2 linked regions of the Tribolium castaneum genome follow. Each later gene encodes a partner of the first gene's protein in a complex. Links are inferred from orthologs where the notes say so. Each region holds a gene or a part of one and is shown on either strand. Other genes may lie near its edges.

Region 1 (5,574 bases):
GTAAACTTACCAGCCCACACAGTCATAATAAAAGGAACCCAAATTTACAATCCAGAAAAAGGCAGATGGGTTGAATTGGGTGCTTTGGACGTTCTTCAAATGTTAGGTCGTGCCGGCCGACCTCAATACGATACCAGAGGTGAAGGCATATTGATAACCAATCACAGCGAACTGCAATACTATCTATCACTATTGAACCAACAATTACCCATCGAATCTCAAATGATATCAAAATTATCAGACATGTTAAACGCTGAGATTGTTTTGGGAACCGTACAAAATGTACGAGATGCCGTCACATGGTTAGGTTACACGTATTTATACATTCGAATGCTTCGACAACCAACTTTGTACGGTGTTTCACATGATCATTTCAAACAAGATCCGTTATTGGAACAACATCGAGCTGATTTAATACATACAGCTGCATTGTATCTCGATCGTAGTGGTTTGGTTAAATATGACAGAAAAACCGGTCAGTTTCAAGTAACCGAACTGGGACGCATTTCCTCGCATTATTATTGCACCCACGAAACGATGCAAACTTACAATCAATTGCTCAAACCAATGTTGAGCGAAATTGAATTGTTCCGCGTTTTTTCCCTATCGTCTGAGTTCAGGAATATAACAGTCCGTGAGGAAGAGAAACTTGAGTTGCAAAAATTGATGGAACGTGTTCCAATCCCGATCAAAGAAAGTATCGAAGAACCAAGTGCCAAAGTAAACGTACTGTTACAAGCGTACATTTCTCAACTAAAACTGGAAGGTTTCGCACTTATGTCCGACATGGTTTACGTAACACAATCAGCTTCGCGTTTAATGCGTGCTATTTTTGAGATTGTTTTACACAGAGGTTGGGCACAATTGGCCGATAAATCGTTAGCTTTGTGTAAAATGATTGATAAAAGAATGTGGCAGTCGATGTCACCGTTGCGCCAATTTCGCAAAATGCCGGAAGAGATTGTGAAGAAAATTGAAAAGAAAAATTTCCCATGGGAACGTTTATACGATTTGGGACCGAACGAAATCGGCGAATTGATTCGGGTCCCAAAGTTGGGCAAGACTATCCATAAATACGTTCATCAGTTCCCCAAACTTGAATTATCAACGCATATTCAACCAATTACCAGGTCAATGTTGAAGGTTGAATTGACCATAACGCCTGACTTTCAGTGGGATGAGAAACTTCATGGAGCGTCTGAAGCGTTTTGGATTTTGGTGGAAGATGTGGATTCAGAGGTTATTCTCCACCATGAGTATTTTTTGCTCAAAGCGAAGTATTCACAAGACGAGCATTTGGTTAAATTTTTTGTCCCGATTTTCGAACCTTTGCCACCTCAGTACTTCTTACGTATTGTGTCAGATCGATGGATCGGAGCCGAGACACAATTACCAGTTTCTTTCCGACATTTGATACTACCAGAGAAGAATTTCCCACCAACTGAACTACTTGACTTGCAACCTTTACCAGTCACTGCCTTACGGAACGATAAATTCGAGTCGTTGTATAACGACAAGTTCCCGCAGTTTAATCCAATTCAGACGCAAGTCTTCAATTCGGTTTACAACGGTGATGATAATATTTTTATTGGTGCCCCGACCGGTTCTGGAAAAACTACAATCGCTGAATTTGCGATACTTCGCCTTTTTGATAAAAACCCGGAAGGTCGGTGCGTTTATCTCGTTCCGAAAGATGCATTAGCTGAGTTAACGTTTGCCGATTGGCACAATAAATTTGGGCAAATTTTGGGCAAGAAAGTAGTGCTCCTAACTGGTGAAACCGGGACTGATTTGAAGTTACTGGCAAAAGGTCAGATTGTTATAAGCACGGCCGAAAAATGGGATGTATTGTCGCGAAGATGGAAACAAAGAAAGAATGTCCAAAATGTGAATTTGTTTATCGTTGATGAGTTGCATTTGATTGGTGGGGAGGATGGGCCTGTTATTGAAGTTGTGTGTTCCCGCATGCGATATATTTCCTCACAGATTGAGAAACCGATCAGGATTATAGCATTAAGTGCGTCGCTTATGGATTATCGAGATGTGTCTCAATGGTTGGGTTGTAATGCCAATGCAACGTTTAATTTTCATCCGAGTGTGAGGCCTGTACCGTTGGAATTGCATGTACAGGGGATTAATATTACACATAATGCGTCGAGACTTATCGCAATGGCGAAGCCGGTTTATAATGCTGTGGTGAGGTATAGTCCACATAAGCCGGTTATTGTTTTCGTACCGACGAGGAAACAATCACGTTTGACTGCAATTGATTTACTTACGTATGCTGCGTCTGAGGGACAGTCTAATAAGTTTTTCCATGCGGAGGAAGAGGATATTAAACCGTTCTTGGATCGGATGACTGATAAAGTAAGTATGAGTTACATACAAGGTTTTATGCGCAAGTTTTGTAAATTACTCAATTGATTCAAAAACGGGTTTTAATTGTGGATCCAGTTTCCTTTTTTTTTTCTTATCGAGGTAGAACTACAAATATGTCTCTCCACTCTGCGAATTTTCAGTAAATACCCAAATACGATTTCCAAACTCAAGTCTGATTCAATAGAGGGTTACTTCTGACATGTCCTAAGATGCAACCAAAAATACCAATTGCTCTTCGGAAATAACCCACTGTTAGCTCACCCCATGGACTCACCCTGTATTTACTACAATTGGCCGAATTATCAATCTTTGAAAAGGCAGGTGGAAATTTGAGTTTTCTCTACTCTAAATATTTTGAAAACAGCTAAGCTATCTTATTAGAATAACTCGAATAATTGAAAAAGGTAATGAAGATCATAGATTTTTATTTTAAATACCAAAAAAATATCAGAAACTGATAAAACAAAAAATTGCACAACTAGGAACCGGAAGAAAAACTATTCGCATTCGCTAACTCGTTTTATTTTTACTTACATCATTTTTCAACAAAGTATCGACTTTTGTCATAGACAGAAGCACAGGTAGGTCAGAGTTTTGATTATATCCAAAAATGGCTATTTAAGTGACTTTTTGCGTTTTTATTGAATTTCCACTAATAAAAGTGAAAATCTATCATATTTCGTTCATAAGAAATAAAAAATAATTTGACTTAATTTAGATTTCAGTTAATACATTTTAGAGCCTAATATCAAAATGGAGAAACAAATCATCTCAAAATTTTTTCTAGAGGAAGTTTGCTTGAAGATTTCCAATCTATTTTTACCTCTTATCCACAACACTAGAAACAGTTTTTGAGATATTGGTGAAAGTTTGGTTTCTCAACATACATTAGTTGTTGTAAAAGAGTACTTTTAGTTTTTATATTAAAATTAACTAGATCAGACAATTGAATCTGTGATCTATATTCATTTTTTGTCTACGAACGATAATTTTTAAGCCATCAGTCAAAGTTTGAGGGGCTGATTAAAATTTAGTTAATCAAAAACCAAAAAATATACAGGGTGTCTCAGCTAAGACTTTCGAGCCTGATATGTCAGATATTTGTTAACGGATTTTTGTGAAATTTAAAATGCAGATATTTTAGAAGGTAAAGATTAAAATTCAATTAATGCAACAACTCAAGTCTTAAAAACGTAATTTTTACATGCCTTTTTAAAATGTTAAGCCTTTTAAGATTTTTATTAAAAAATTAATCATCAATGAAAAATGATGTAAGAAAAAACTCGTTTGTGAAAGAAGTTTGTTCTGCAAGAAAAATGAGAAACAAACTGTTAAACGTGGATACAAATTCAAAAGGTCCCTATAAAACATATGCGCGCTACCACTAAATTTTGGTTACTCCTACTCGCACAAACGTGTCACGCAAATGACATTTCACATTTATCTCTCATCCTTACAAAGTTAACAAACAGTATTTTTAACTTCCTTCTTGTACTGGATGCTTTAATTCGTTCAAAAAGGACAAAAAGACTGAACAACTGAAAAATTTTAGGCACTTGAACGTTCAGGAGTTTGGAAATGTTTATCGTACACTGCTGATTAAATTCCCTTCAAAAGCTGATGTTACAGCCCCAGCTATTGCTTCGCTTCCAGTGACGACTTTTCATTTTATCCTCATTCGATTTAGTTCACGTACGCTTCCTGTGTCTTCAAATTATTGAAGATTCTTTGAACTTTAAACTTCATGAATAACATTTCACAAGAAGTTCAACGAAACTTTTTATGGAGGAATATTGTTTCCTTTTTCAACAACACTGAAATTTCTGTGTTTTACTTTTCTGATAGCGCACACACTTTTGACAGATTTTTTCAATGGTACACAAAATGCCGCATAGAAATGCTTCATCAATTGTTTCAAAAGGTGACTGCCCAAATACTTTCCAAAATTTGGATTAAGTTTTTAACAACAAAACCTAATTTTTTTTCTTGGATCAGCAGAGCGATTTGGTGAATTTTTGTGTGGCCATCTATATTTCCTAGTTTGACTTAATCTTAAATAAAAGAAATGTGTTTTAAAATTACATTTTTTAACTTGAGGTCATTTTTTTGACCCTAATTGAAAGACCACCTCCTAAAATATGTACATTCTAAATTTCATAACAATCCGTTGGCAAATAACTGAGATATTAAGCTCTATATACTATATTGTTTTTGTCTGGGATTTCTAAACTGTCTTTATTTCTCATCTACAACTAATAAGAGTTTTTAAAAACGAAGATCACATAATGTGACCACGTAAAAGGAAAATTACTGTTTTTGGCAAAAATATATTAGCTCAATTTGTTATAGCATCATTTAGGCTTGGTGTTCTAGTACGATTAAACTTCAATTTATTCTTATCTCTCTGTTATTTGGTAAGTATTTGACTGACGTTGCTATGTTTTAACTGGGTTTTAAATTCATTTTTATAAATGTTTCCAGAAACTGGGCTTTAAACATTTACATATTTTATTAACTTTTTATTACTGATAAAAATAAAAGGATAAAACTTCTGTAATATTATACTATTAACAAACTTTTTTCAACAAGCTTTTCAAAACTATAGAAATGCCAACGTTGCATTTTAAATAAGGTTGATAAAATGTAAAATAGTTATTAATGATTAGATCTCTCATTGAAAGTATAAATTACATTAGCGCGTATTCTGTAACTTCTTAACGGGTGGTTAAAATTTAACACTGGTTAAAATCGAAAATTAGAAATTTTATTGGTTATTACTATAGGAACAACGATTAACGGTCTTTAAATTTTAACGGTTTCGTTACAGAATACGGGTTATAAGCGCGTATTCTGTAACTTTTTTAACGGCTTGTTAAAATTTAACGCTGGTTAAAATCGCAAATTTAGCTATTTTATTGGTTATTGCTACACCAACAACGATAACGGTCTTTAAATTTTTACAGAATATTAGCTGTTAATGTTTTTGAAGTGCATGAACTACTATAAATGTTAGAGAAAATGCGACGTTGGTATTTCTATAGTTTTGAAACAGATAATAATATGCTATTTGGTTCGTTAACAAAAATTGGTTGGAGTAATAGGTGAGTACGCGCTTTTAATTTTTTTAATGAAGTTGAACAGTTTTGACACAATACTGCAGCTTTTCAAATGTAAAAATATTTAAGGATTTTGAAT
Region 2 (4,668 bases), on another chromosome or scaffold:
AATAAATTAAACTTTAACAAAGTTTTTAACCCCTGGTCTAATTATCAACGTCGTTAACGTTAAGAATACATGAATTACTAAATTAATAATTTGAAGAAAAAAAATCCCAATACTTTTGCTTTTACTTTTATTACTGACCAAGAGATAAAATCGTGGATGCTAAACAATTTTTAAATAAAAATAGAGCAGTTATTTTTTATATTTTCTCATTCACATATCTGTAGATCTTGATCTGCCCATGGTTTATTTATTCTCTCTTATTTATAACCATTAATTCAGTGAATCATCTTTCTACCAGTGATATAATACATTTTTTTTACAAAAACAAATATTGTATTTTATGATTGAGATTAATACATGATTATTTTTTGAGGACAAACTATGGAGGCTTTTTCAACAAAGCGCTAAGCAAATATGTATGTATGCGTACGTGTTTTTTTTTATTCACGGCTCAGCTAAAATAAATCGCAAAATTCTTACCAAAACTATGACAAAAGTGGGCGAAATCCCATCACAGTGTCTGTGAAAAGCCGATGCAGAGTACCCATGACTGCTAGCCCTGTAAATAAGTCTCCAACTCTGCTTGGGATTACCGAACCAGGCATTGAGCACCCTTTGGTAGTGACTCTTATCCTGACCCAGAATTAGCGAACCCGGGAATAAGTGAGGTGATACCCTTGGACGCAGTCTCTGGTCCTCTGCTCCTTCAGGATATTTACTAGGAAGCGCAGCATGTCTGTACCTTTCCAAACTGAGCTCCATTGGAACGGCTCCAGTTGGTTCAACTTCTTCGGCAAAAACTTGGCTGTCTATAATATTACAAATAAATAAGAGAAAAAAAAAATTTAATTTACCAATCAGAAGTAAGCGGACGTGAGAAATGACATGTGAGAGGTGCTGGCACACTCTGGCCCTCTCTTCTTCAGTCCAATGGGCTGTGGGTTGGGTGACACCAGCTTGGTACTTTGCCCAGTTTAAAATTGCTCTCCAGACATCCTCTTCCTCCAAACAGAGCTAAATTGAAACAGTAATAAATGATTTTAAGTAAAATTTTAAAACTTACATAATCTGAGGAGATTAATTTTAAGACTGCTTCTTTGGGAAGAGAAAGAAATGAGTTTGTTTTTACACATTCTACAGCATTTTCGCCAATGTAGCTGACGCAACGTTCGACAAAACCTGTCGCAGCTTTACCCCCTACAAAAAAAATATATTGGAACACCTACAAGCTTCACAATTCTAAAAAAGCGATAATTACCTGTATTGTCCATCACATTTTAATTTTAAGGACTTTGAAGTTATAAAAATAGACATAATTACTAAAATAATTTTAATGTCCGCATTTCTTTTACAGAAAGTTGATGAATCACTTAATACTAAGACCAATTGCGGTTTTCATACAAACACATTACTCCAACGAATGAAAAAATTGTTATGAAACTTAGAATTACGCTACAATTTACAACTAATTGCCTGATTGAGGATTCACGTTCTGTATCAGCGTTATGTTATCTCCTTTAAGCATGATTCTTCCCAGCTGCCTCCTGTTCTTCGTTTTAACGTAATATTCCTCAGCATCATCCAGCACAAGATTCATGTATTCATCAAAACCCACAATGTGCCCCTCGATTCTCAGATTAATGTTCTCGTATAACCACACTTGTACACGTGAACGGTTTTGTAAGTAACGAAAAATTAAGTTGATGGGTTGTACCATCACTTTTTGAACTTTTTGTGGTTTGTACGCCATGGTTAGAGGAGTCTTGGGTTACCGGCAAAAAAAGTTCTTTAAGGAAGCTAAGTGCAAACACACTTTCACACAGCACGAATTATTCGTATTAAGAGAAAAAAACTTGTTCAAAGTTTGCAATAGTATTTATAAAACTTAAAAAATGAGGCGACGCTTACAATACGACCAAAGTAAGGTTATCTGTGTGAGTTCTGTATTCTGTTGGCAATCGTGGAACGCGGGAAGCTTGACGAGCTGAAATACACCAGAAAAAGGTCTGGTGGTTTGGTCGTTTTTAGGCTGTTTCGAAACTATAAAAACACCAACGTCCCATTTTTTTTCCAAAATTATTCACGCAGAATTATAGTCGCACAATTTATATTTTGGGTTTTCCTTAACTAATCAAGCTGAGTTATTCCATAATTATCATCAGATGGGCGTAAATGTCTCGAAAAAAATTTTTTTTATTCTCATTTAGCTTTCTTTGACGTGATAGTTTTTTATATATTTTTTTTGAACTTGGTGTCTCATAAACTCAATTTTTTTTTAATAAGGTTGATAAAAATGTAAAATAGTTATTAATAAATAAATCATTGAGACTATAAATAACATTACCTATTAGTTTTTTGAAGTGCATAAATAATTTATAACAACTAATTTTGAGAGAAAATACGAGGTTGGCGTTTTTATAGTTTTGAAATAGCTAATATGAGGAGTTGCGCCGTGTCTTACACACACACAATCGTCAATAGGTCTTTCTTTGTCATTGTTACCCTTAATGACACAATTTTGGTTTTGGCGGGATAATTTTACGTGACTTTAAAGAAAAAAACGACAAGCTATAAACTCGATATAAAGATGTGAAACGACATTTAAATCAACTCTTTACTGAATAGGAAGGGTTATTTTGCTCAAAAAGTTAGATAAATGCCTGAAATCACACTTAAGAAAAAATTGCCAAGAGTGCTTTGACTTTGCACCAAATGGATGCTGCTTTTAACAGTTGTCATCGCGTGATTGTCAGTCAGTGTTGTTATCTCTCAGAAAATCGAACGAAACTAGTGATTATTTGGACTGGGTGGTTCAAAAATGCAAAGTGGGGCACCTGTTTTTGTGGAATATTTGTGAATTTGAAAGTGCGGGCGCGCAGACTGTGACCTGGCGCGATGCGCACAACGACCTGCCCCTTGACTGTGTTTATGGAGAATACTCGGGGAAAAACCGGCTCAAAAGACACATTTTTCAATTTGGGTAAGGTAAGTGCTACACCTTTGCGGCCCAAAACCTCTTTGAACCTTAATTTTTTTATTTGCACCGGAGATTATTTTTATTTATATTATTTATATTTTCCAAACTGTGATGAAGTGTAAAGTGTTGTTTGAGTCTTAATAGCCCCAAAAACTAGAATTAGGCGAGAAAAATCTCAAAATTAATGCCAAAACGATACAAAATTGATGTTAATGAGCCCTAGCCGATCCCAAAGGACCAAAGGATCATTTATATGAAATCTGTGCATAGGGGTTGAGTGTTTTTTCCCAATTTTCAAATGCTCAAATGGCATAGAGATACAGCGTCTCTATAGGCAGTCAGGGCGACTCTAAGTGCACTATTAGGTCACTATTTCTTTTTTAGTTATTTCTTCATTAGCTTTATACCTCTATACTTACCCATTCTTTAGTAAGTTTTTAATCTCAAATTTATTTAGAATTACAGTTTTTGATGTTGAGCAATTTTGAATTAATTTTTCACTTACCTGGGGACCGATTTTGTATGTCCATCGCAGCTGCCAGAAAAGTGCAGGCTGAAGCAACAGACAAGGTTGAAGTGACATGATCTTCGCAAGCATTTCTCAATTCATCAACCCCCAGTTCTTGAGCAAGCGCCAACATTTCGAAAACTCCACTGTCTTGCAGCAGTATCTGGCAAACGTCTTTATTGTCAGTATAAAATAAACAAATAATCGGTAATTTATACCAACCTTTCCTGTGTACACATAAAGGAGGAACTGCTTGAAAGTGTCAGGAGGCGCCTGCGGTAGACGCACAGGTGTGGGTGTTCCTGGGGCTGCTGGAGAAACAGAACATCCCGGAATACGACACACTTCACCGCGTTTGGCCGTTTGAAAACTCTTGCATCTGAGCGGAATATTGAAGAATGAAATAATTAGCTTCAAGATACAAAGACGTTTCCATTAGCTACATTTTAGTTGTTTCTTTGAGCCGCCGTCAGCCACTCAGGCATATGAGTTTATGCATCTATGCGTTTGGAGAAAAATGCATAATAATGTACAGCGCGTGTAGGTGCTCTCTCACAATAGTGGACTCACAGGATCAAAGCAATTTTCGAAAGATATCCAATTAGACATCAGAAACAAGAGTCGTTGAGATAGAGAAAGAGACTTATTATTAGCGTCATTATATGAGTGGAGCAATAAAGTTACGAGTAGATAAGAACAAAGGTGCAAACAACTTTGATGTTTTAATGAGAGGTGCGCGAAACCATAGTTCCTTGTCTCTGCAACTTTGTAAAAGTTCAGACTTTTATAAAGTCCAACAATTTGTTCTTGCTTGATCATCTTCTCATTATATAAGCCTTAATTACGACAAAATAAGACCAACAGCTTTGAAAAACTTGAAAAATAACAAGCACAAGGGATTTATTAAGGACGTAATTAGAAAAATTCTTTCACCTGGCCATAAGAATTACTCGATGTGCGTACACACGTTCTTCGTCTCTCCCAAGAATAAAAACAATGTCTGCTGAATCCGTGTCTTCAGAAAGGCGCTGCAAATCATCCAACAATCGGGGAACCCCCGCTAAAGCTTTATCAGCTGGCAAACCAGCTGAATTAAATCCTCCAACTCGAGATCCCATCCTAAGCTAAAAACATTTCGAACACTGTAAATATTTCGACCAAATATCTTGATTATTTGAAAATC

What was found. The genes of interacting proteins can lie anywhere in the genome.
Region 2: Brr2 (region 1) and SmE share a complex: the UniProt entries of both Homo sapiens proteins name them as parts of the U4/U6-U5 tri-snRNP complex. The link is inferred for Tribolium castaneum from reciprocal best matches to the Homo sapiens genes SNRNP200 and SNRPE.

Annotation. Positions count from the first base shown.
Region 1 is NC_087397.1:20,465,692-20,471,265, forward strand, and holds part of Brr2 (U5 small nuclear ribonucleoprotein 200 kDa helicase), read left to right. Parts: coding exon 1-2,367; intron 2,368-5,574. UniProt on the Homo sapiens protein: Catalyzes the ATP-dependent unwinding of U4/U6 RNA duplices, an essential step in the assembly of a catalytically active spliceosome. Plays a role in pre-mRNA splicing as a core component of precatalytic, catalytic and postcatalytic spliceosomal complexes.
Region 2 is NC_087394.1:32,140,116-32,144,783, reverse strand, and holds SmE (probable small nuclear ribonucleoprotein E), read right to left. Parts: upstream 1,968-4,668; 5' UTR 1,751-1,967; coding exon 1,466-1,750; 3' UTR 1,317-1,465; downstream 1-1,316. Other genes in the region: kelch-like protein 21, read right to left, coding at 481-809, 855-1,014, 1,064-1,197, 3,483-3,648, 3,708-3,864, 4,419-4,603. UniProt on the Homo sapiens protein: Plays a role in pre-mRNA splicing as a core component of the spliceosomal U1, U2, U4 and U5 small nuclear ribonucleoproteins (snRNPs), the building blocks of the spliceosome.